Oryzias latipes: one gene and its partners. The protein of the gene in region 7 interacts with the protein of the main gene of each other region in a pairwise test. Links are inferred from orthologs where the notes say so. Each region holds a gene or a part of one and is shown on either strand. Other genes may lie near its edges.

Region 1 (3,500 bases), on a different chromosome or scaffold from region 7:
AAATCGATAAAATGTTCAAATGTTGGACCGAGTTTCCATTTTCAAATCTTTAGTCTTATGTTCTGCAGTTTATCAGGACCTGAACACAATAGAGAGAAAATAGACACACTTGATGTTTGTGTGTGCGTAACTCTGGATTTGCAGCTCATATAGTACATGTTGTGCATATTTGTGCAATTGATTATTGACACACTCAAATATCAACAATGTACAAATACGAAATACAATTTACGCGCAACTAGAAAAGAACAGCCCCTTCAAACTAACCGGGAATTCAAAAAACGGCTCCTAGGCGTACAAATCTACGCACCCATCGCATCAGACACGCCGACAAAAGCAGGGAGCCACCAGTGCTGGAGGCCTTCAGATGTGTGCCTAGATGATGTGTTCAAATGCTGCTAGAATGCTGGGTCATCAGAGTTTTCTGATCTGCTGTTTGAACTTAGATTGTGGAAAAGCCGTTTGAAAGTTTGAAGTTGGCGTCATTTCACCTTGTGTGTGTGTAAATTGTATTTCCTATTCGACTGTACATGTGAATACACAAGAGCAAGTACACACTGGTACACATCGATGGTATTGCATGTGGTACACACACAAATGTGCAGTGAGACTAGTGTGTCTCCATAGTGCATGAGGGGATAGTGATACTTGCTACTTGCGGTCATCACTGTGGTCTTTCATGCACACCCAGCAGCCAATCAGAATGGCGTATTCAGCCGGACCGTGGTGTAAGTGTTTTTAACAGACGTTTGAGAGTCACACCACCAGGAAAGGGGAGCGCTGACAGTACAAAAACTGGTCAAGGAAACGGATGAAGACGGTGTTTTCACCCTCTCTCCCGTCATGGCGAACGGAGCGTTGAACCACTGCTCGAAGGTGCTGCAGCTCTTGAAGATGGTGGGCAGCAGGAAGTTGAGCAGAGCCCACAGCTCGGGCAGCTTGTTCTGCAGCGGCGTGCCGGTGAGGAGGAGGCGGCGGGGGGCCACGTAGTGGGTGTTCAGCACCTGAGTCAGCTTACAGTGATGGTTCTTCATGCGGTGACCTTCATCCACGATCATGTACTTCCAACGGATCTGCAAAGGGAAAAAACGGTCGTTTCATCTAAAGGAAGGAATGTTTCACGTCCGTGTTTGGTTTTTGACCGTTTTGACACATTTATCCTTCAGACGTCAGTGCAGACTTTAGTTTTAGCGGTAAATGGAACCAGAAAAAACATCTTTTTGTGTTCACAGCATTACCATATAATTATAATAATAAATGGCTTAAACTATTACTGAGGATGGTTAAAGTGATTAAAGTGATAAATACTTCACTTCCCCCCAAAAAATGATTTTTTTCTAATGAAAAATAATCTGCACATCTTTTTAACTTTTGATACTTGATCTGCAAACACTATGAAGATTTCTGAAACAGTATTATGTCCATTTTTTCTGAAATAGTGTTATTTTTAATCATAGTCAGAATTTTTCTAATGAACATAAGTTGCATATATTTTAGATAACTGATCTGCATTTGCTTCTATGTTGATTTCTAAAATAGAGTTATGTCTATTTTAAGTCATTCATCTTTGTCATGTGATTTCTTGATACTTAAGGATTCTTAATGTATTCTTTGGTAAGGCATAGATGTCTGATAGACGTCATGAACCGGATAATGATAGTTAATGTAATCAAATGGTTACAGTGGAACAGGGTTGGATTCTAGAAGTTCACTTCCTTCCTCTCTCTTTAAGCAACATTTGATTGAACGTCTAATTATCCTACGTTTAATACGTCTTTGTATGAATGGACACCTGAATTTTATGCATTATTGTTGCTTTGATTGCTTGAAATAAACCACTTCAAATCAAATCAAATGTAACCCCTCCCTGTTTATGGTTAACCCTTCATTTTAAATTATGACCCCCCCCCCCCTTAAACACCTTTTATCCACTGCATTTTCTCAAGTTCTGGCTGTGGATCAAACATGTTTGTGCTGCAGCTCCAGAGCGGTTCCCCCTGCTGCTCATGTCTCTCCACATGACATCAGATTACATTAGAACTGTGTTTTCCCTCTAGCAGCACATCTCTGATGTGGATCTTTGTGAGAGCCCCCCAGCAGCCAACAGCTCCGTCCCGTCTGAGGGCCAATCCAAGCTCTTCTGAGAGAAAAGCTGCTTGTGATTTTCACGTCAAGGCCGTGTCTGACGGCCAGCACGTCGTGATCCCTGCGTGATAAACCCAACTCAAGTGTTTCTGCCGCTGTCATTCCTGGATGTGCAGATGTACATGGAGGGTTTTGAACGACGGGTCTTTATGCCAATTCGGTTTTGAGGTATCCAGAATTTTTGGAAACATAGTTTATACGACTCTGTCGATTCTTTTAAAAGTCTACTGAAGACATTTATTTAAAAATGCTTTTAGCTGACTGTTTTTTTGTTAATTCTATTCAAAGTTTATTTTCTTTCATTTAGTTTTACATTTAATTGATTGTTAATGTGTTTTTACTGTACTGTATGGTATTGTTTTATTGTTCAGCGCTTTGTGATTTTACCTGGGAAAGGCGCCATATAAATAAAACGTACTTACTAAAAAACATACTACATACAATTACTATGTAAATCTGTGTGACTTTTGCGAGATGCATGTGTTTCTTTCCACGTGTGTCTAACAGACTTTTCACGCATGAACCACCGATGTCTAACTTTTACATCGCGTATACGGCGCACACATCACGTCTAGATGACGTCATTGACGGACGTATTTTTACGCTTACGTGTTCTTTGCGTGGTGTATTTGTACATCTTCCGTGTTTTTAACCTGATTCATTCGTGACACTTCTGTGAAAATTACACTGAAACCTTTCCCCCCTTTTTTTCCACGTCTATTCACCTGTGACCAATTTACATCGGAGCAATATGCGCCAAACGTGCATGATGGCTGCGTGACATTCTTCAGATGAGTGACATCAAGGCTTCACTCATGTGAAGAATGATATGCTTCCATTTTGGGTCAGTAAACTGTAAAACCTGTTGACTGATATTTATTCAAACATCTCAAATCAAAGCGGTGGATTTAAAAGCCGCTGGACTTCCTGAAACTTTCAGAAAACTGAAACATCCCAAAGCTGTTGGTGTACAGAATATAACTTTGATCTCCTTCACCTTGGCCAGGATGTGCTTGTCCTTAATGATGTATTCATAGGTGGTCAGCAGGACGTTAAACTTCCCGCTGCGAAGCTGAGGAACGAGCCCCCGGCGCAGAGCGGGAGTTCCCTGGAATGAGGAGGGGGCTGGAGTCAGTGAAAAGCACGGCGTCAGAGCCTCGGCTGCAAAAATCTTTTTTTTACCTTGTAAGCAATTTTGACGACAGAAGGAGCCCATTTGTCGAGTTCATAGACCCAGTTTGACAAAGTCCTGGAACCAGAACCAACACAAATCATTAGACAGTGGGGAGGGGGGGGGGGGGGGTCACCCGGGATTAAAAGCAGTTTCTGAAATGTGAAAAGGAAAGTTTAAGAAT
Region 2 (4,158 bases), on a different chromosome or scaffold from region 7:
ACCTCCAGCTCGGTCTGATGGTCGTCAGCGATCCTCAGAAACGTCTGAGTGGGCAGAACAGCCCCGTCACTCAAACCCTTATTTTACTGCGAATCCAGCTCGTACACACACCCAAAAACAGAAATGTTTTAATAGATTTTTATTGTAAAGAACACATTTTGTTAAGTTTCTGGTTTAGGCTGCAGTGTTGAAATGTCCAGATTCCATCCGTTAACTTTGATTCTGGGCTCTTAGGATCTGTGGTCACTTGATCTCATTCAGACAACAGATCCTCCAGTTTACTGATCTGACGTTTCACCATGTGACCGACCTGATTTCTATAGAGATCAGCCAATTGTTCCAAGACTTCAGAATTCATAGAAATGCTGCTTGTACCAAAGGAAAGTGGGGTTTGGTGCTAAACCAGAGATGAGAAATGCTTCTTCTGCAACGATTTGGTGAAGTTTGGCTTGAAAAACGTTCAGGACGATAAACTCAAGGTTTCTCTTCACCCCATTGTATGTTTAAGACTTTTCTTCTGCAGTTGTAATACTCAGTTGTTTGTGGTTGAACGCTTTTCTGTTCTTGTTTTTAATCAGGTGTAAGAACATGGAGGTGCCTATAGAAAAAATCTACAACAAAACCCAACGGGAAAAGTTCGCCTGGGCCATCGACATGACGGAGGACGACTTCGAGTTCTGAAACTGAACTTCCACAGACGTATAAACTCACACCAAGTGGCAGCTCAGGGACCTTTTGCTTTATCCCATGTAGAGTAAATGAATATTGTATTGAGGGGATGTTTATGAAGTGCTGAGGTTCTACTACTGCAGTTCAATAATCAAGCTGCACTTTAATGGATGTTTACTGCTACTTTTGGTTTGAAGACGGTCTGTTACATTTTGTTTGCATACACTTGAATAAAGGTTCCTACCATGCGGTAAAATAAGGGATGTTTTAATCATTCAATTTGGCAAAATCTTAGTTATACACTCGTTAAGTGGCACATTTCCAATTCTGCTCATTTCACGTCAGAATCCAACAAATTCATGAACAACAAAGAGCATTGAACCTGCAGATCGGATGAATTCAGTAGTTATGAAAGGTCTGTGGCATCAGACGACTCTGCCTCATAAGAGAAAATGTAGAAACTCTTAGCACCGTGGTCTATTTATCAGCACCTGGTCAAAAAGGAGAAACTGCTCCGTACATCGCTTTAATAGAAAATCAGAAATGGAATGCATTCTGCATCTCGTTGCCAACAGTGCTGCGCTGCGAGCTCCGGGTGTTCGCGGTTCATCGTGTTGGGATGAGGTTCTGCTGGCCCGTTACCAAGCACGGACCGGAGAGAAGAACCGACGCTGGCGGCTCGAACGTCCAGGTCAGGGCACCAAATACACAATTCTGAAGGGCAGGTCACACTAATTCAGATTACTACTACTCCACTTCTCACATCATGACATAACTGTAAACCGTTAAACCATTTTATATATATATATATTTAAAAAAAGCATTTCACACCAAATCAGAAGTCATCGGTAAAGAACTTTGACTTCACATCATTTCTGACCCTGTGGGACAGACAGAAAATAAAGCTGATTAGGAAATCTACCAGAACAAAGAAATTCTACAGGGGTAGACCGTTTTTCTTCACCTTCATGATGATCCTTGGCTCTCCTTCGGCTTCTCTGGTGTCGCCTCGGCCTCCTCCACACCAGCCTGGGTCATCAGGTCAGCAATGTTTTTCTCCAGGTCATCGATTCGTGTGCTCATCTCATCAAGTGGACACTGTTAAGGCAAATCTTTTTTTTTTCTAAGCAAACTGGAGTCCTGTAGAAAAAGACACCGGGACATTTGATGTAGAGTATGAGAAATGTAAAGACGACCATCAGAGCTCTGGCTTTCAAAAAAGGATATTCCTCCCGATGATCTGGTCTGACATTGTCTGGAACTTGTCTTGCATTTGCTGCAGGAGCGTCTGGACCTTTAGAAAAACAAAAGAAGGCCACAAACTTTAATCTGTCAAACCCAACAAGAAACAGTACAAGATCAAGCTGTGAGCGGCCCAAAAGCGCTTCCCGCCCTCTCAGTCCCCTCCTCACATACCCCACTCTGGACATAGCTGCATGTGAGAGAAAAACCACTAAAAAGGAGCTAAGACCTTCATCTTCCAGTCAACACACTAATCAACACCTAATGTTTCAGAAGAATCGAATACAGTCTGTGATTTAGTAGGTAGAGGTGCAACTTAGACCTTTAGTTTTGGTTCATTTCCATGGCAACACTATTGGTATCCACACCAACAGAAGTAACCTGGGTGTTGCGAGAACTGCTGATTATTATTATTACAATAAAAATGTAAATTCATATACTTGTTATTGAAAATGCTGATTAAAGAAGATTTATGTAAATTAAATTAGTCAGGATGAAGTGCTAATCAGCTAACAATGTCTTTTATATGGTGATAAACTAATAAATATTTAGTGAGATCGATCAGAATTTAGGTGTCAAGTGGTAAAACAAAGGGGGAAAAGGCAAAAAGGAATCAAACTTAATACTCCTTTAGATGCAACCTGCATTTGATTTGTTAGCAGTATAGTTAGCATTGCTAGCTACATCCATATAGCTAGTCCTAGCTAGCTTGACGGTCCAAACTCACCACGTTAGTAAGGTCCTGCACTGATTTGGGATCTGTTTCAGCCATGGTGTGAATAAAACTGTATGTCCGGACCTTCACGGCGGTTAAATTTAAGGCGCTTTATATTCGATTATTTAGCCTCAAGGTTCTGCTCGCCTGTACCACCCACGGGAGAGTCAGCTGTGCCACAACACGGCAAGTCTCGCGAGATTTGCTCATGGGCTGAGATCGGTGAATTTGCAGAACCCTTCGATACAAATAATGCTGTGGATTGACGACAAACATTAGGTTGTATGTATATTTATAAAATAATAACACATTTGAAAAATCAGTTGACGTTCTTATGTTTAGATGAAAAGAAAAACATGAAGCTGTAAGATTGAAGCGGAAATTCTAGACCTGTGTGTGTTTATGCGCAGCCGTGTGTGTGTGGGGATGCGCGCACACGTCTCTCCTCCTCCTCAGCGAGTTGGGATTTGAAAGTTGGAGCTGCGGGATAACTCGGCGGGTTTTCACGCCGAATTCACTGCGGGAGACGGCAAAGTTCTGTTGGACTGAAGGCGATCGGTGAGTAAAGCAGAAAACTGACGGTGCTGTTGTGCATCAGAAATGCGGCTGTTTGCGTAAAGTTCAGATTTACGCACGCGTGCAATAGGCTGAAACTTCACGGTTGCTTTAAACTCAGGCTTACCACGTGGTTTTTATGCATCATTCTTGAAGTTTTATTTTTTTTAACGAGACTGCAGCTGTATTGAGTTTGTCCCAAAGGAGCAGCAGCTCCGGCATGGATGTGTGTGGAAGTCCTGAGTGACATGAAGAAGCAGGCACTGCTGGCCCTACCCCGTGAAAATATGCTCCGCTTACATAACATTGAGTTTCCTCTTTTAAGAAGCTTCGGTACATTTCAGCTTCCATTGTTAGTGTTTACTTTCAACACATAAACAAAAGGAAATAGCAGAAGCCTCACAGTACTGAATAAATTGTGCAAAGGTTCCCTTAGAACGGGTTTTAACTTCCTCCAGGCTTGTGCCTAGTCTAACTGATTATAACCTGTAACTTTTTTTATCAGAAGCAAACAATTACTGAGCTTTATATGTAACTTAGACGTGACTTTTGCTCTTCAAACTCCTGCCATAATGCTGAGGTTTGGTGTTTAATGTCTTGCTGCTGTTCTTGTCTTTTCAAAATTAAGCGCTGCTTAAGTTACAGCAGTGGTGACGTCTTAGCTGAGTTTGGCACGATTTTCTGAATGAAATCTTTGTCAAGTTATACTTTAAAAAAATGTTCCCACCTCCTTTGTAACCTCCCTGTATTTTCTTGGCATGCGCACCTCATGCTTTTGTAGGCACAACACAAGGGAGAAAGTCCCTGGGTACGCTGTATGGAGCTAAAGCTTTAAGGGTGTTTTGAAAGCAGGCAGGTCATCTGTGTAACTCAACTATCGGTGTCCACAGCAGCTGCAGTGAAACTGTTAGTAAGACGAGATGCTGTCTGCAGTTTAAACTTATCTGCAGACTGGCAGACCCCTCCCTTAGAGAGCC
Region 3 (3,054 bases), on a different chromosome or scaffold from region 7:
TGTTTTCAATTACAATGTCAGACTTTGATGTAAAACAATAAAAAAAGCATAGATCCATCATAAACTTCTGCCATTTGCAGAGTAGATAAAACTTAACATTTAAGGATTATTTATCCTCCAATACCTCTCCCCCCATGCTTGACCTGCCACCCCTGCTCTCTCTGTCTAGAATCGGGCGTCTCTTTGATGGCACAGAACCAATAGTCCTGGACAGCCTGAAGCAGCACTACTTCATTGACAGGGATGGACACATGTTCCGTTACATCCTCAACTTCCTCAGGACGTCCAAGCTCCTCATTCCAGAGGACTTCAAAGTGAGTAGGAGAATCCCCAGAAACTGTGAAGTCTCCTCAGCAGTCAGCAGTCCTGTAACTCGTCTCTCACAATGAATGCTGAGGCCGTGGAATGCCTTTGGTCACTAGATGTCCTCAAGTTACCCAAAGCAGTTACCATGTCTGTGCACTATAAACTAATAACACGATACCAGGGTGTGCAATTACGGTTCCTACCTGCCATTGTTTCCCAGATGCTAAATTTAGATATATGACATTACTAAAAACATATATTTTTGATGCATCTATGCACAGTTTTTGGCCCCCATGTCTGTCCACGATGGTTTTTTACTGCATTAGCCATTCTCTATTATATTTTGTATGTGTCATTGAGTCAGTAATGACTTACCCTTGGAGAAAACAAACATCTGCATTATCTGATGGACTGTCCAGCACAACTCAATCAGTGGAAAGTATGCCAGTTAAAATAAGCGCAGGCTCAACTTGAAGCCATTTTTCACTTTGGTAGGTTTTGAGAGAAGTATAAGAAAATGGTAAAGTTGCTGGTCTGCAAATAAAAAAAAATGCTTTCAACTTAAATAAATCTCCTTTTCAATTTCACTTTTTTAGGTTTTACTAAATAGTGTTTTAATTCAAGCCTTTTTGTTTTAGGTTGGATAGTTTGACTTTTTAGCAGGGCGATATGAGGAAAACTTGCAATGTGCAATATTAATGATCAACGTTGTGATGACAATGTGACTTGGGATAGAAGAGCAAATAGCCAACCAAAAAACAACAAATACATAGTTTCCATTACAGCGCAACAGTTTTATTAAAACAAAAGTCAGCATCACTTAAATTATGCACCAAATGACCCTTGTCTACATAGGAGGTGGGTAACTAACATAAAAAGGCTTCTTTCGATTGATCCAATGTGTTAAGGGCTCTATGTGATTCGTTAAATACTTAAAGCTGCCAAGAGACTGTTTTAACATGTAAACATTTGACGTAACTATTTATTGCAATCATTAACGATAAGTGTGTGATTTATTGTGCAGGCCTACTTTTTAGTCCCAGTTGTATATTTTTTGAGGGGGCAACAGAAAGGTTAACATTTGACTTTTTAAATGTCACCTTTATATTCCAGTCACTTTGTCCACTGGTCTATGACAATTGATTACCCTGTCTTTCAGTTACCGGTAAATAAACTGGAGGAAGAAAAACTTTTTTCTAGAAAAAGGATGAATTAATAGTTACTAACACATTTGATATATTATACATCACTGAACATTTATTTCAAAGTGTTATTTGCGTTGTAAAACCATTTCTGAACCGTTTTCTCCAGGACTACAGCCTGTTGTACGAAGAGGCTCGATACTTCCAGCTGCAGCCCATGCTGGCTGAGCTGGAGCGCTGGCGTCAGGATCAGGAGCTGGGCCGGGTGTCCCGTCCTTGCGAGTGCTTGGTGGTGCGTGTTGCACCCGACCTGGGCGAGAGGATCACACTTAGCGGGGACAAGGCCCTCATTGAAGATGTTTTTCCAGAGATCGGAGATGTCATGTGTAACTCAGTGAATGCAGGCTGGAACCATGACTCCACACACGTCATCCGCTTCCCTCTGAATGGTTATTGCCATCTCAACTCAGTCCAGGTAATGGATGCACACGGCAGCTTTAATCTGAAAGTGTCCAGTTATGAACACAAGTATACAGTGTGTATTTTTACTCTCTTTTTATATGTTAAATGTATCCACAAAGTCGTTTGACAGGGTTGGTAATCTGTTCATCTTGCGTCTTTCATCTGCTGTTTTGTGATGGTCTTCAGAGATCTTGCGTCTGATTCCAGTCTTTTTATTTATTTATTTATTTTTTTTTTAAATGAACAAAAATCATCAGAAAAGCCCTGCAGGAGTAGAAGCTCTTTGATAAGTTCATCAAAGCAACACTTTAGCAAGGCATCAACGCACAAGTCGACCACACTTTTTACTTCTTCCCTGTGATCTGACTGCAATAGTAATTCAGACTCTGACATCAGAGTTGATGGATGGTCAGCCTCAGACGTTGGATTCTTTTTTTTTTTTTCATCCATGCGCGTAAACATTGTTTTATTCTCTTTTGTGGGCATTTATGATTGCAAAAATGTGTGCTAACATTTTTAGTTGTGGGTTTATGTTGCCCTGAATCCATTTTGGAAGATGACATGAATGTTAACTAAGGGGAAATTACCAGGTGGGTTATGAAAAAAGAAAAATTGTCCCATTTGCAAAATCACTTACATGCCTTTGAAACTATGTAATTGATTGTGCTTTTTCTCTCCTGTGTTGAGGATCCTGCAGATGACTCCTGCATTTATTGTCTGTCAGTCTTCTAAGTCTGAAGCGAAAACAGAGGTTCTCAGAGTCCTGAAAGATCAGAATTTTTAACAACTAGTTTAGCAGCCTATATATTGCAGTAGATCTTGTAAAGTTACGTTCACACTGCCTTCAGCAACTCATGTTCAAGCAACCACTTCCAATGAAAATTGGATGTAACACTTTGTGCATTTCGGGGTTCTGCATTCAAAGCTCTTGCATTCACTGAACGCAGGTTGGGTGATCTTTCACCAACCAGAGACTAGTATTTGGTAGTGACGTATGAATGGTGTCCCTATTAATTCATTAAATTGATCACGGAGGAGAAATTAATAATTGCGGTCTGTGCCCGGGTGAAATTATGACACCAAGTCTTTTATATGTCGGAATAGAGCTGTGAAAGAAAAAGCCTGGAGAAAGATTTGCGAGATT
Region 4 (4,026 bases), on a different chromosome or scaffold from region 7:
GGGAGACGGTGAGCGCCAGGCACCACACTGACATCATGTCCTGCTCACTGTGTCACTGACCCACTGCACCCTCAATACACTGCTGTTACTCGCTCACGAGATGTGTTGAGATCTGACTCAGTGGAATCTTAGGACACAACTTATGTTTAATTAAAGTCTATTTCTTTTGTTGATAAAATATCAAGAAATAACAAAGGCAAGAACTTAAAACCAAGCTTCCAATCCTTAAAAAGGGGTTTAGAAAATTGATGGATGATTGGTTGAAGATAATTGAATCGGTTAGTTCGAAAGGGACCCAAGTCCACAATTTTTCAAAATACAGATATTACATGTTCTATAGACTTCAAAGGAAAAGCTATCTGATTATGTGCAAAAAAGTTCCAAGTCCGTTGTAATGTATTGACAATGCTTTGACATTTAAAATGCGTTTAGTGCAAAATTCCTTGACTTGGGCCTCTCTTGCATGGGTTTTGCTTCATCCCATAGATGGCAGCACTAGTTATCCAATATGGCAGAGCCCCTGTTTAATTCAAGAAGGGCCCAAGTCCAGAGACTTTAGTCTTAATTTCCTCTGAAGTTATAAAAGTGAGGTGCTTCATATTATAGCATTTGTAAGCTATGAACTGGTGCCAAATCTGGGTAAAGTATTAATCATTTGGTGTAGCCTCCCTTTAAGCTATGCGATTAAAATCATTTCCTGGAAAAACAAACCTCTTGGACTTGGGCCCCTTTTGAATGTTATCCTGATCACAGGAAAGATGGAGCCTACCCAGCCAATGAAAGGTGAAGCCTTTTGACCTCCTCTGCATTACCCAGACTTCTGATTGGCACATGGAAACACTGGAGAGTGCCCCCGTCCCATGTGGTTCCCCAAGTTTTAGAACCAGGGAGTCCAACGCAGTCTCCCATTCAAGGACTGGGAACCCTTCCAAATGTTCAAGATCAGTCAAGATTGGTTGCGTCCATCTATGCTTTTTGTTAAAGAAAAAATATGCACATCTTCAAATTGGGATGAAAGGAAATTTATTCTGCCTGCAACAAACCTTATAGCTACAACTGCAATAATGACATAAAGAATTGTGGGTAAGAAAGAGAGCAGACAGAGAAAACCCTGTACCCACGCATACAGGGGGTTGAACCGTAAAGGTGATGGAGGTTTTTAGGTTGTCCGGGCCCGTGGAGAGTTGCAGATAGGAGCAGGGGAGTGCAGATTTTTCACCTCCTCTGAGGGTTGTATGGCCACTTCAAGGGACAGTGTGAAAATGGAACGTACCATTTTTGTGCATGTGGTAAGTGTATCACATCTGAGTTACAGTATACACACTTATGACGAACAGGTAATGCTGGCGTTCAGTGCCCTAGTCATCGGTAAGGTGCACATACTAACTCCATACTGAACCATTTGTGTGCCCAGTTTTCACCTGCCCACCTTTGAGGGCAGTTGTGATCAATACCTAATGAAGGTGAACAAAAAATTACCATTGCATTTGGAACAGTCTCCTGCATGGCAGCATACCTCAATACATGGATCAGGGTCACCCATGTCATCGACAACCCTTCTGGAATAGTACTGGAGATGCTCTGTCTCACATGTTTAAAAATGTATGTGCTCAAAACTTTATTAATAAAGCTGCCATTGGTTACTTACATATTGTTTACAAGAGGCGGAAAAAACATTCAGTGGGATTTTTATCAAAATAGTACATGCCCGAGGGGACAAAGCGCATTGTGATACTGTTGTATCCTAGTCAACTAAATCTATTAGCAGTTTGCTGTCTATTTATGTTTTTTGCTTACCTAAGCCCATAGGATCAAACCAAAACAAAAACATTAAAGAGGCCTAGCATATTTTGCCAATGGAATGTTGCGTTAACTGTTGGGACAACAGTGTCATGATTTGAGTTTGTTGTCTTGTTTTTCGTCCTTGTTCTTGTTCTGTCTGGTTTGTTTCTGTTTCCTGTTTTATTTTGAAAGTTCTCCTGTCTTGTCTGTTTTCTTGAGTTTTACTTCCTTTGGTCCCCATCTGCCCTGATCGTGTTCACCTGTGTCTTGTCTGCCCTGTCTGTACTTAAGTCATGTCTTTGCCTTCCTCCTGTACTGGTTCATTAGTCTTGTCATGGTGTTTCATGTCATGCTGTCTCTTGCCACATTCCACGTTTCATGTTCCTCGCCACGTCAAGTAAGCTTTGTTTGTTCAGAAATCCTGCTCTGCAGCGCTTTGTGTTTGGTTTTTGTTTATTAAATCCATTAGACTCTGATCCTCGTGCCTCCGCCTCTGCTACTGGGTCCTACCGGCTCTCGAGCCACCCCGCACCATGACAAACAGTCCAAAAACACAATTTGAAACCATTTGTCAATGGAATACAGATGCAACTTAGGAGGTCCTGATCAATATGAACAGTTGGTTTTGCATCCTGGTAGCTTTTTTTCACATGAGGATTAACTGAATCCCCATCCGTTTTCCATCAGCTTGCAGCTAGCCAATGCAAGTCTTCTAAATTCAAGAAGAATCAACGTAGAAATATCTGTTGGGGAGTTCGTTTTGAACTGAACAGAGTAAAAACAAGGGGTCACGTTACGTACCCGCGGCAATGAACTTCTTCTTGATCCCCGTCTTTTCCTCTACCTTTCCCAGAAAATCGGTCACCATGTTCTTCTCATTGAGAAACTTTTCGGCCCGTTCTTTGATGGAAGAAAAAATGTCCAGCAAGCCCATGGTGCTCGAAGAGCTGCTAAAGCGCAAAATGGGTCAGGGAAAGGCAGCCTGCAGGGAAGAGGAAGTTATAACCGCCGTTAATCCCCTGACAGCAGCAATCTGCTTTGATGAGGAGGAGGAGGGGGAGGAGCACAGGAGCAGGTGGATAATGATATGGCTGTGACCGTCATGAAACCCAAAAGTCATTTCCAACATATATATGTATATCGGTTTATCTTAACAAAGAGTCATGATCCGCACAACGGTTGTGAATTGGAAGCAGGTCACTGGGGTGTTTAAGAATTTCTTTGAGTTAAGGCCGTGTCACACAGCCATTACGTACATTTTGCGCACATTGTACAGATGAAAATTGGTCATACGTGAATACACGTGGAAAGAGTGAGAATCAGAATTGAACCACTTTGAAACCACAAAAGTACAAATAAATCATGCAAAGAACATGTAAATCAACGAAAAAGGCAAATATGGCCCAAAATCCATGCATTAATTTACTTAATTTGAACGTCATATGTGTGCTCTATACGCAATATAAAAGTTATACTTCAGTGGTACGTACGTAAAAAGTCCATAGACAAAAACTATGCACAATTGCGTAAGATTTACGCTTGAATTGTGTACAAGCCTCGTAAAATACACAAAACCTGCTTAATTTTCATCTAACCAAAAATTCTGATCAGCATAAAACCAAATTCAGGTAAAGGCCAATCGCCCAACATCCTCGACGAACATCTGCGCACAGCGACACATGACAGGAAACACTAGCGAATTACGTATTTCGCGCATTCATCACGAAAGACAGAAATTGAATACATGGAAAATGTGTAAAATGTACATAGTAGCTGTGTGACACGGCCCTTAGGCCCACAACACAGAGAAAGTTCAACAGTGTGTTCCAGTTCCAAGGAACACGCACCTCTTGGTCTGCACCCATATACCCCTCTTCTACTGCAAAAAGCACTCATCTCTGATTACTTACAAGACTCACAATAAGTTAGGAATATTTTTATTTGCATGAGTATTTTTCCTATTTGGCCTGATTTTATTGAAAAGTTCACTTTGATATCACCAATAATAAATGATAAGAAACACTGGCTATGTCTCAATTCCCTCTCTAATACCTAACTACTAAAAACTATATAGTGCGGGACTATGTAGTGCCCTGGATTTTAAGAGTAATTCGTACACCATGCTCACTGCTTTTTTTTGTTTTACAGCAAATATAACATCATGGATTTCACAAAGTAAAAATCTCATCAATATGAGCATTTTGCGACGACCATTCATGAATTCCCTGTGTTCTAAAGATGATA
Region 5 (4,027 bases), on a different chromosome or scaffold from region 7:
CATCACATCCTTTCTTTCTGCCTCCCTGTCTTCTCATTAGGAATCCCTTTGGCTTTTATACCTAGCACGTTGTCGAGTCTTACCAAGAAAACCTCTGGGATCTATTAAGAGCTTGCCTTTCTTGTTTCTGTCTTCCACCCACTATTAAAAAGACCCACTGTGTTCTTTATTCAAAGGAAACTAAAAGCACACCCAACAGCTGCCTGTTCTGTCGGTCTCTGCAGCCATTAGGCTCACACCATACTGACAGTAACTGAGTTTGTTTCCCTGAAGGAAATAGTGTTGGTGGGAATAGGGGGGGATTAGCACCAACAAACCGAAAGGAACTTACAGACAATGTTATCTTGAAAAAGGTTTTGGAAAATTCCCAATGTTTGACTTCTTCCTGATAGATCAAAATGATGCAGGAACCTTGAGATTTGCAGAAAAAGAAAGATAAAAATGAAAATGTCATTCTGGACATTTAATTTAAACAAAAGGTTTTCACATCAGGATAGTTTACTGCAGTAACACTAAATAAATTGGGAGACGTTAACCAAGACTGTTGTAAATCCATATTTTGTGGTTTATTGTGTATAATGTGAATAATGAAGGATGGCATTGTATTCTGCTCAATGATAAATCGCCCCTGAATCTATAACAAGTGAATGCATTTTATCTTGTTGTCCACCAATAAGCATGATGCTGCATTTTTACGCTGCAAAGATGGATGGGAGAGCTCTGTGACAGTGGATCACAGAAAGAGCTTTCTTGTGCTGCCTGTTTCTTTCTATATGCTCTGTGCTGATGTGGGAAACATGATTGACTGCTCTGATTGGTATCTGTTGTGGATGATGTGAAAAGTTGAAGTTTCAGAGGTGATCTTGAAACGAGATTCTCTAACTTTATCAGGGAAATGCTGCAAATTTTCTCAGCAACTATTGAATATCCACACTGGAATGTGATGTTAATTAGGGCTAAGTGACATTCAAGTGTGCTAATGAAAAACTCAAAGAAGAAAAAAGGGGGCATTTTAGTTTGCACATATTTTATTGGAATTTTGGCTGTGTGAGTCAACACTGACTGAAAAAGTATTCTGTGTAACAGATGATCTACACCCCAGCAAGTGGCAAAGGCCATACTGTGAGGTGTTTCATCAACACATTTCAACAGTAGTGCTTAAGGGGCTGGAAAATCAGAGCACAGCAACCCTCAGAACCGTTAGAATATGAACACAGCACAGTTCTTCCATAAATACATAAACAAAATGGTAAAACTTGTCTGCTTTTCTTGATTAAGAAATGTAAACTAAACTAATCTGCCTAGTAAAATCACATGATCAATTCAACAAAATATATGGTAAAGTACAGGAAAAAAGTGTATTTAGTTTCTGCAATGTTTTTTTTCTAGCAAAATGTAATTATATTTGTGTCACATTTCTTTATCCCAACGCTTTGTGTGGACTTTGATTATTGGAAGCTTCATGTCCATTCCAGAAATGCCAAAGTTACTAACTTTCAAATTAGTATCTGTGCGTGCTTTGGGCTAGTGTGCTTCCTCTTGAAGTATTATATTCTTTGAATATAAATGAACACATGCACAATGAGGATCTTTGGCGGAACATTATTGTATTCTGCTGTACATTTTTCTAAAAAATACAGACAGCAGATATTCAGTTGAATAATCTGCAGTTCTTTCTGGTGCACTTTTGTTAGTTCACATACATCCAAAATTAACAATTAAAGAGATACCCTGCAGTAATTGTGTGTGTTGGCGTATTATTTTATGAACTTTTAAAGAAAGGTTTATAAGAAAAACAGTTGTCTTTACACCAAAACCATGAAAAAATAGTCTAAAAAAGAGACATGGACTGCAACGAATCAATACAACAACAAAATTCTATACGAATAAATAAAAAAAAACAACATAAGAAACAGCAATTCAAACATATAAAAAAGGCTTGTATATTGTGATTGAACATGATTTATCTTGTATATTTGAACGTTTTATTTCTTTCTATTGTAAACGTGCATCTAAAAAATATTTGCAAACGATTCTTACAAGAAAAGCAGCCACTATGTTTTCACTGAGAGCTTGATCCATCCCGTCACTCTGCTAAAGTGTTGCACTTTTGCCTGCAGCACCTAGAAGCTCTTTCACTGAACATGCTGGCTTTTTTTCTCAACTTCAGTCATGCATTTTTCTCCTTTTAACCTCAACTTTCTTTGCTCAGAAAATCTGTCGAGTTCTGGACTGAAGCTAAAAAAGTGCAGTTGAGGGCAATTACTCCAAGAAGCACAAAAGGACAAAGAAATATGTGTCAAAATCTCCACAAACCTCTCTGTACTGGACTGAATTGAAGATGCTTTGAGACTAACAGAACGGGGACTGGTGCCCAGCAATCTGCAGCGTATGCAGCAGATTGTAGACAAAAAGAAAGAAAGAAAAACCTGACTTACCTTCTGCCAGTAAACGCACCGCGTGCACAAAAGAGGGATCCAGGCTGTTTTTCTCTGCCACCAGTTCAGGTAAACACTTATCTGGATGCATTCTGATCACAGCTCTTCAGCAGCGGAGCAGGTGTGTGATCACTGGAGTGCTGAACGTCGGAGTGCAGCTGTACCTTCTTCCCCTCTTGCCTAACAGTGGCTGCAGTTGCTTTTATTGAATAACAACAGAGGGGAAACGCCCAGAAAAAAACCACACACCTCAAAACGTCCAAAATACCTGACCAGAGGCTGAGCAGTGACTCAGAGGTGTGAGCCCATCCCGGCTGCAGCTGCCTCTTGTCGGCAACCCGCCAGACTCCCGGGCATCGCTGCGCGCGTCCCCGCCCCTTTCACACGATTGGCCACGTTGAAGAATCAGTGCTGATGAAAAGCTGAGGAGTTCCCTACTGAGGGTAATGCAACACACAAGTTCGTCTTATTAGCACCACCAGCCTGAGAGTTCAGCACGTCCAAGAGGAAAATGTGGTTTTAATCTGAAATAAATGAACCAAGTAACAAATACAGAGTGAGTGCATCCAAAATGAACTTGTCAATTCGATTATTTAAGATTAAAGTGAAAACTTGCAGTTTAATTAATGTCACGCAACAACTAACCTCTTACAACACTCGGCTGTGTCCAGACAAGCCAGACTGTCCGCTGGTGTCAATAATCCACATCAGGGTGATCCGCAGAGCCGCGGCTCTGTTTGTGTCGCTGTCCATGGTGCTGATCTGATTTGAGACTCACAGAAGCTCGTTTTTTCTCATTAGGTTTTGCCTTCCAGAGTTCAAAGTTCTCGGAGATAGGAAGAGTTTCTTTATTTAATTGATTTATCTTCTATTGTTCTTCCTTGTTGACATTTTGTTTCACTGCAGATTTTCACTTCAAATAAATAAATAAACATCCATCTTTTCATCTGTCTTCTAATCCAGTTTTATCCATTTCAGTATCAAGGGCTGCTCGAGCCTATCCTGGCCACTATTGGGCGAAGGCAGGGTTCACCCTCGACAGGTCGCCAGTCTGACGCACATTCACACACCCATGCACACTTGCATTCACACTTAAGGACAATTTAGACCTATGAAGCATGTTTTTTGACAGTGGGAGGAAGCCGGAGTCCCTGGAGAAAACCCAGGCATGCATGGGGATAGCTTGCAAACTTCTCACAGAATGGTCCTCCATTTGTGATTCTGTTTCAGGTCCCCCAGCCGGGACTTGACCCTTCTTGCTGTGAGGCAAGAGTACTAAAATAAAGGGGGGAAAAAACAGACAAAGTTATCAAAGAATCAATTGTCTGTTATGATGCTGCATTTTGGATAAGGCAATTTTCAGCTTCTTCTTACTATTATACATCATCTCAAAAAACTAAGCAAAAATCAAGCAAACACTGTGACATGTTTAAAAAATACGAGAGGACTTGAGTCGCATTTGTGTTTCATGAAGAGACTTGAGCCTTGAATTGAGACCTAAGGTTTGGGTCCTGATAGCAAAGTTTATTTGTTTATTCTTTTTTTGGCAACATAATCTCTCAGTCAGGTGTAAAAATCAAAGCTTTCTT
Region 6 (2,328 bases), on a different chromosome or scaffold from region 7:
GTCCTTCACTGTGTTTCCTAGCTTTCTGTGCGTTTGCCGCGTCCTCACAAATGAAAAATAATCTGTTGTCTCTTCCAGGAAACAGGTGATGGCCACCAAAGCTGAAGCTGAGCGCGATGGTGTGAAAGTTCCCACCACGCTGGCGGAGTACTGCGTCCGCACACGTGCGCCAGCCCCCGACGAGGGCTCGGACCTCTTCTACGACGATTACTATGATGACGACACCATGGAGGGCGGGGATGGCGACTGCTGCTACGACGAGGACGATTCAGGAAACGAGGAGTTGTGACATGCTTTTTGACTGAACGCCCAGTCCGGCTATGCTCCTCCTTTTTCCCTTCCGGGGTAGCGAGATGTTCTAGGTTTAACACCAAGGAAGACTGGAATCTTCCCTTCTCTAAACGGATAAGAGCTTTTTTTCTCGTGCCTCTGTTTTTTTCCCCGTCTCAGAGGTTAAAACAAAAGACTCTGTAAAAATGTGGGACCTGGTAAGATTTGCACCAGCACATACGTTAGCAGTTTCTTCAGTTTGGCCACCTCAGACTTTACCATGAAGGATAGTTAAATGCTCACCAAATCTTTTTCACTCACTGTAGGCTTTAATGGGGTGGAAACTCTCTTAAACATTAGTCAGCCTCTTTTGCATATTTGTTTTTCCTAAATTGTAAGTGAATTTTGATCTCCGTGATGGAAAACGAAGGACTTCAGGCTTGTACTAGGAAAAGCACTGCAGAGATCCAGTATTTTTCACCTTTTACAGCATCCCATTACATGCACCAAGACACAATAAACTTGCCACGTGACAGTATTTTCTAAGTTTCTGTGCATGCCAGAACATCTTTGCAAGCTTTTAGTCTCTTGTAACGGCGGACAGTTTTCCCACCGCATCATGATTTGTCCTAGCAAAAAAACCGCTGCGGCGTTGAAGTGACTCTGTGGCGAAGAAGCAGATGGGCACGTCAGCGGGGTCCATACCACGTGGACATTTTTGATCTTGTGGTTTTTTTCTGGTTTAGTGTTGAATGTGTTTCTCTGTCACTCTGGGTGTGTCTTTTTTTTTTTTTTTTTAAACAACCTCGAATTAAGGGGAGATTGAAAAGTGTTTGAGTTGGTGGGGGATTTGAAATGTTTTTGAGCTCTCGAAGTGTGGGGCCGTTTTTGAAAAAGCAACAATTGTTTTGTTAACTAATCATACTTGGAGTAAAGGTTTGAATCGTAGTCAAAATACTTGATTGCTATTTTAAAGACATCCAGTTGTAAACACAGTATCACTCCGAAACACCTGATGGACCCAAAGAGCTAAAGCAGCATTATAAAGACTCCAAAACCTATGAAAAATGATGTAGTTCTGTTGGTTTGGTTGAAATTCATTATAATTTATTTTTCTTTTAAATTCCTTCATAGTTTACCTGAATGGTGTCACCTGTGAGATTATTAGGTAAAATCATGCACGTAGTCTGATTCTAGATTCTTGACGTTTTTCTGCGCCGCAAATGAAAATGTTAAGAAATAATGATCCTCTTTATTTTAATTTTCTTCTCTGTTTTGTTGGGTGATTCTGGACGGGTGTTGGTGTTTTTCTGAGAGTATGGATGGTGTTTTTTGATTTAGTTTTTTTCCAATCTGCAGTATTGATAACTTTAATGTCTGAAGTAAGTTTAGTAAATAAATTAAATTTCTCAGGATAAAAATTCATTTGAAACAACTGTTGAGGCAAGCAATTAATTTCCAATATGCAGATGTAGCTGTATGAATGATTAAAGTGTTTTATTCACATGTCTCTTTTTTCCCCCCCAGCTATTTAAAATAAAGATTTATTTCAAAGAAACATTCATTGAAGTGCTTGGAATGACTGCACATAACGGAAATCCAATTTTTTGTTGTGCTTTGTTATTTTAAGGAAGTCATTTAAAGTGTTCCAGCTGAAGACAACAGCATTTAGTTTGCTCATGCTATTTAACTTTTGATAATACCTTAAAATTCAATTATAAAGAGTAACTTGAACATGTGTGTTCAAGAGGTTGGAGGGAAATAGGAATTTTGAACTACCAAACATGTCAGTCTTTATCTTTTATTTATTACTTTTTTATTATTTATGTAGATGTAAGAATGCAAAACTCAAACTTATTCATATTCTAAAATAAACTATTTTAAGTCTGTGTCTGTATGGTGTGAATCGTATCAATGATGTTCCCTATGGTTTCTGAATGCATCACATGCCGGCGCACATTGATGTCGTCATCCAAACGCCGCAGTTCAAACCTAAAACTCGGGTTTGGGACTGTTTTTCAAACAGAAAATAACAACAAAGACAACAGTTACCAGAGT
Region 7 (3,500 bases):
TGCGCTGAGACGCTGTCACTTTAACCCAATGCATCATGGGAGATCTAGTGCAAACAGCTGCCGAATGCAGACAGACTAGCGTCTCTGAGCTTCATTGTTTTGTTCACTTGTTCCACGGTCTGATACCGGATCCTGCGGAAAGATACACCGCTAAAGACGAGCTTTAGCTGATATTTTTGTTAGAACTGAGCGATTTTATGAGCTGAATCAGAACAAGGAAGTGAAGACTTTAGGCCTCCAAGAATGATTGGTGGAGACAGTTAAAGGGGTGGGAATTTTCCGAAAACGTCTGAAACTACGGCTAGATTCTTATCAAAATGTCTTTAATAGAATCAAATAAACACAAAGAAAAAAGTGTTTTACAATCTTTCATATTCCTAACTACTCATTGTTTTATCAGGACCTGTTTGGATGAACAAAGAGCTGATATCCTGGAGACGGAAAATGTTTTTAGATCAGTTATTGAGGGCAATTTCCCACGGCACACTGGTTGAAAAACACTGCTGTAGATAAACAAACAAGAGGTTTCCAAACATTTGTCCCTTAAGCTTTAGATTTAAACCAAATCTCCAATCCCGTCCATATTTATGTTAACATCCTCTTTTCCCTTTCAGGTCACGTTTAAAACCTAGTCCCTTCCTTATGCCAACCCCCCCAACACCATATCCCCACTGCATTACTGCCTGAGCCAGTCACCATGGTGAGGAAACACAAAGAACCAAAAGCACTCAGGACTTTGCATCCAAATAGGGAAGAGAAAGTAAATGAAAGGAACAATAAGAGGGAAGATAATCAAAATGTTGTCCTTTGCAAAGCCTGGAGGTTGTCTGTTCGTATTTTCCATTTTATAGAATCATTAAGAGGCTTCCTGCAGACATCACTCCACATGTAAGACAACTCTACTCTGGAAGTGAAGCCTCTTGTTTTTCTAAACAACTTTAGCTCCGATCTTCAACACCAATCAGCTCCTTTAACAGACTTCATCCTCTGCAAAACTTTGTCCATACATTACCAGTTTACACTGCAGCTCAACAGAAGGGAAAGGGTCAATCTGGAAAGTGGTTCTGGAGTTCGAACCGGTCCCACTCACCGGATGCTGGCATGGCAACAGCAGCAAGCTCAGGCTGGGAGCTTCCCTCAGTGATGGCAGGCATGGGGGCAGCAGTCTGAGCGAACTGGACCTGAGCCTGAAAACAGCAAACACTTCAGTCAGCTCTGTTTAAATGCAATTTCAGATAAACATATATGGTCAGGACTTTCTGCGTTACTGAACCGTTTGCGCTTAGAGACATATATTCCATCGCCGACTGAAAAAATGTTGGTTAATCTGACCACATCCGAGGCCCATCAACCAGGTTACCACAGTGTGAAAACAGAATTTAGACCTCATGAAAAACCACGACAGTGGTCACTTTCCTTATTGTGTTTGGGATCATTGTTGAAAATCAATGCATTATAAGAGTTTTAGAGTTGATTCAAAATTTTGTCTGCATCACATAAACTATAAAAACTTCCTATAACCCAAAGTTAAAGTCACGTCACTGACACAAAGTTCCTCTTACCTTGATGACCTTGTCGACCTTGAGGTCCTCGAGGGATGGATACAGAGACATGCTGAGGAGAAAACACAAACATCTGGGAGTGAAGGTCAGGATCATGAAAAGCCTTTTTGTTTGATTTTTTTAACTTAGGTTGAAACATTTTTCATTTCGTGTATTAATGTTCAGTTCTATTTCCTGCATTTAGTTTTTATTAAATTTAACCTTTTTTGTTTTTTACATGCATGGTCTAATTTTTATGACTATGAGGGATTCAGTGGGTTCAGAAAAAGGAATATATAGTTAAAATTTGGATTACCATTTTTCTATTTTCATTGAATATTTAAAAGGAAATGTAATCTATATTCTTAGTTTTTTTGTTTTCTAGCAATATTTATACTTTCATCTCTATTTCTTTTTTTAAACGCTTCCTCATTCTGTTGTGATTTGATTGATTGATTGATTGATTGATTGATTGATTGGACAAATAGATGGATGTGTTTTAATTCTATAGATTTTTATTCTTTTTATATTGTGTGTGTTTTATATTTTATTGTACTTGGGTTATTTCCAAGGGTTTATTGTCATATGCACAGTGTGAAGCACTTTATGTTTACATGAAAAGTGTAACGTAAACATAAAAACAGTAGAATTACTTCCAGCTGACCTCAAATTCACGCCTGTGTTCACAATTCCTTTGGGTCACTGAACTGATGCTCTGGTACCAAAGTGCTTTGACCACAGCGGCAGAATCCATCACATAAACATCTTCAGTGGAGGAAAACTAACGATATTTTCAAGGTTTTGCATCACATCCGAGAAGGCCTCATATGCAGAGTCATGCTAAAATGGATTTATACAACGGCTTTGTTGTTTGTTAACTTTCTGTATGGTTTATTTTTACATGTATTCATTTAACAAAAGACTTTATTTCAAAGCAACTTGCATGTGAGATGCAAAACAAGCAAACACTGGGTCAATCGCACACTACTAGACACACTTCTAGTTCAGCTCAGAGAAAAATGTCCCGTTCTGTTTTTTTAGGCACAGGAAGCTGCGGAAGAGGTCACTCCAGACCATTTTTTTTTAAAAATAGGGAGTGAAGCAGCTGTGGGTGTAGAGTTGGAAAACTCACTGCACCTTTGTGGGTCGCAGAGCTGAAGAGTTTGAAACAGTTTCCTCGAAGCAGAGATATTTATTTGGATTTATAAATACCACATGAAGACATATATGTCCTAAACAAAGGAGTCTTTTTGGAGCTTAGCACCACAAACTTTAAGATCCGGACTGATCAGCTGCCATCAGAAGGAAGCTTTAAAAACGATCACATCCACGTCTACAGCTCATGTTTTCATCGTCCACACTCCATGAATAAATGGGTTTAATCTGCACTTATTCTCATAACATGGGAATGTGTTAAGGTCAAATGACAACAGGACGCAAACAGGCTTTGAGATTACGAAAACACAGAAATACCAAATTTGAAACAGTTTTTTTTTTAAACATTTCCACCCCCCAAAATGTGGAATCAGGAAATGAGTCAGCTGACTGAGGTTTCAAAACAACGCAGCAGCTCAGAAACCATCTGTAGTATGATGGCAGGCAGCTAATGAGCAAAGTATGTCTGAGAGTGGAATTTGACTATGCATGTTTAATTGATACCATTACTTTTATACACTAAACAACTCACATTCCACAAAGAGCCTTTGTGTTGAAAAGACTCGGACGCAAATCCTAAGCCTGCAAAGAAACAGCTGATCTCACCCTTGCCAGTTCTTCTTTTCACTTTTTTTTATGTTTGATAGAAAAAACTAAACTTACAAAGTAGGAATTACCTAAAATCATTTAGATTCCATTAGATCAAATTTCCTACATCACAATTAAGCCTTTTCTCAAATGGCGTTTTATCGTCCAGCTCCTGATTCACAGTCATTTGAATAAAGAAATACTCAGAAATTAATT

Evidence for each region.
Region 1: the proteins of syntenin-1 (region 7) and probable global transcription activator SNF2L2 interact in binary tests that used the Homo sapiens proteins (3 or more experiments, as listed by UniProt). The two-hybrid records come from large-scale screens. The link is inferred for Oryzias latipes from reciprocal best matches to the Homo sapiens genes SDCBP and SMARCA2.
Region 2: the proteins of syntenin-1 (region 7) and hsbp1 interact in binary tests that used the Homo sapiens proteins (3 or more experiments, as listed by UniProt). The two-hybrid records come from large-scale screens. The link is inferred for Oryzias latipes from reciprocal best matches to the Homo sapiens genes SDCBP and HSBP1.
Region 3: the proteins of syntenin-1 (region 7) and kctd1 interact in binary tests that used the Homo sapiens proteins (3 or more experiments, as listed by UniProt). The two-hybrid records come from large-scale screens. The link is inferred for Oryzias latipes from reciprocal best matches to the Homo sapiens genes SDCBP and KCTD1.
Region 4: the proteins of syntenin-1 (region 7) and receptor expression-enhancing protein 6 interact in binary tests that used the Homo sapiens proteins (3 or more experiments, as listed by UniProt). The two-hybrid records come from large-scale screens. The link is inferred for Oryzias latipes from reciprocal best matches to the Homo sapiens genes SDCBP and REEP6.
Region 5: the proteins of syntenin-1 (region 7) and khdrbs2 interact in binary tests that used the Homo sapiens proteins (3 or more experiments, as listed by UniProt). The two-hybrid records come from large-scale screens. The link is inferred for Oryzias latipes from reciprocal best matches to the Homo sapiens genes SDCBP and KHDRBS2.
Region 6: the proteins of syntenin-1 (region 7) and ubiquitin-conjugating enzyme E2 R1 interact in binary tests that used the Homo sapiens proteins (3 or more experiments, as listed by UniProt). The two-hybrid records come from large-scale screens. The link is inferred for Oryzias latipes from reciprocal best matches to the Homo sapiens genes SDCBP and CDC34.

The regions. Positions count from the first base shown.
Region 1 is NC_019867.2:1,033,582-1,037,081, forward strand, and holds part of probable global transcription activator SNF2L2, read right to left. Parts: intron 3,395-3,500; coding exon 3,328-3,394; intron 3,254-3,327; coding exon 3,143-3,253; intron 1,074-3,142; coding exon 831-1,073; intron 1-830. UniProt on the Homo sapiens protein: ATPase involved in transcriptional activation and repression of select genes by chromatin remodeling (alteration of DNA-nucleosome topology).
Region 2 is NC_019864.2:28,979,185-28,983,342, forward strand, and holds hsbp1 (heat shock factor-binding protein 1), read right to left. Parts: upstream 2,801-4,158; 5' UTR 2,684-2,800; coding exon 2,639-2,683; intron 1,964-2,638; coding exon 1,897-1,963; intron 1,761-1,896; coding exon 1,636-1,760; 3' UTR 1,634-1,635; intron 1,551-1,633; 3' UTR 682-1,550; coding exon of another isoform or gene 579-681; 3' UTR 125-578; downstream 1-124. Other genes in the region: DNA topoisomerase I, mitochondrial, read left to right, coding at 579-681. UniProt on the Homo sapiens protein: Negative regulator of the heat shock response. Negatively affects HSF1 DNA-binding activity. May have a role in the suppression of the activation of the stress response during the aging process.
Region 3 is NC_019875.2:25,797,271-25,800,324, reverse strand, and holds part of kctd1 (BTB/POZ domain-containing protein KCTD1), read left to right. Parts: intron 1-169; coding exon 170-314; intron 315-1,617; coding exon 1,618-1,923; intron 1,924-3,054. UniProt on the Homo sapiens protein: May repress the transcriptional activity of AP-2 family members, including TFAP2A, TFAP2B and TFAP2C to various extent.
Region 4 is NC_019862.2:22,294,565-22,298,590, reverse strand, and holds the start of receptor expression-enhancing protein 6, read right to left. Parts: upstream 2,801-4,026; 5' UTR 2,717-2,800; coding exon 2,584-2,716; intron 25-2,583; exon of another isoform or gene 1-24. UniProt on the Homo sapiens protein: Required for correct function and survival of retinal photoreceptors. Required for retinal development.
Region 5 is NC_019873.2:24,545,854-24,549,880, forward strand, and holds the start of khdrbs2 (KH domain-containing, RNA-binding, signal transduction-associated protein 2), read right to left. Parts: upstream 2,801-4,027; 5' UTR 2,530-2,800; coding exon 2,439-2,529; intron 1-2,438. UniProt on the Homo sapiens protein: RNA-binding protein that plays a role in the regulation of alternative splicing and influences mRNA splice site selection and exon inclusion. Binds both poly(A) and poly(U) homopolymers. Phosphorylation by PTK6 inhibits its RNA-binding ability.
Region 6 is NC_019875.2:22,337,205-22,339,532, forward strand, and holds the end of ubiquitin-conjugating enzyme E2 R1, read left to right. Parts: intron 1-78; coding exon 79-289; 3' UTR 290-1,828; downstream 1,829-2,328. UniProt on the Homo sapiens protein: E2 ubiquitin-conjugating enzyme that accepts ubiquitin from an E1 ubiquitin-activating protein, and catalyzes its covalent attachment to other proteins by an E3 ubiquitin-protein ligase complex. In vitro catalyzes 'Lys-48'-linked polyubiquitination.
Region 7 is NC_019865.2:5,713,278-5,716,777, forward strand, and holds part of syntenin-1, read right to left. Parts: intron 1,615-3,500; 5' UTR 1,614-1,614; coding exon 1,563-1,613; intron 1,188-1,562; coding exon 1,091-1,187; intron 1-1,090. UniProt on the Homo sapiens protein: Multifunctional adapter protein involved in diverse array of functions including trafficking of transmembrane proteins, neuro and immunomodulation, exosome biogenesis, and tumorigenesis.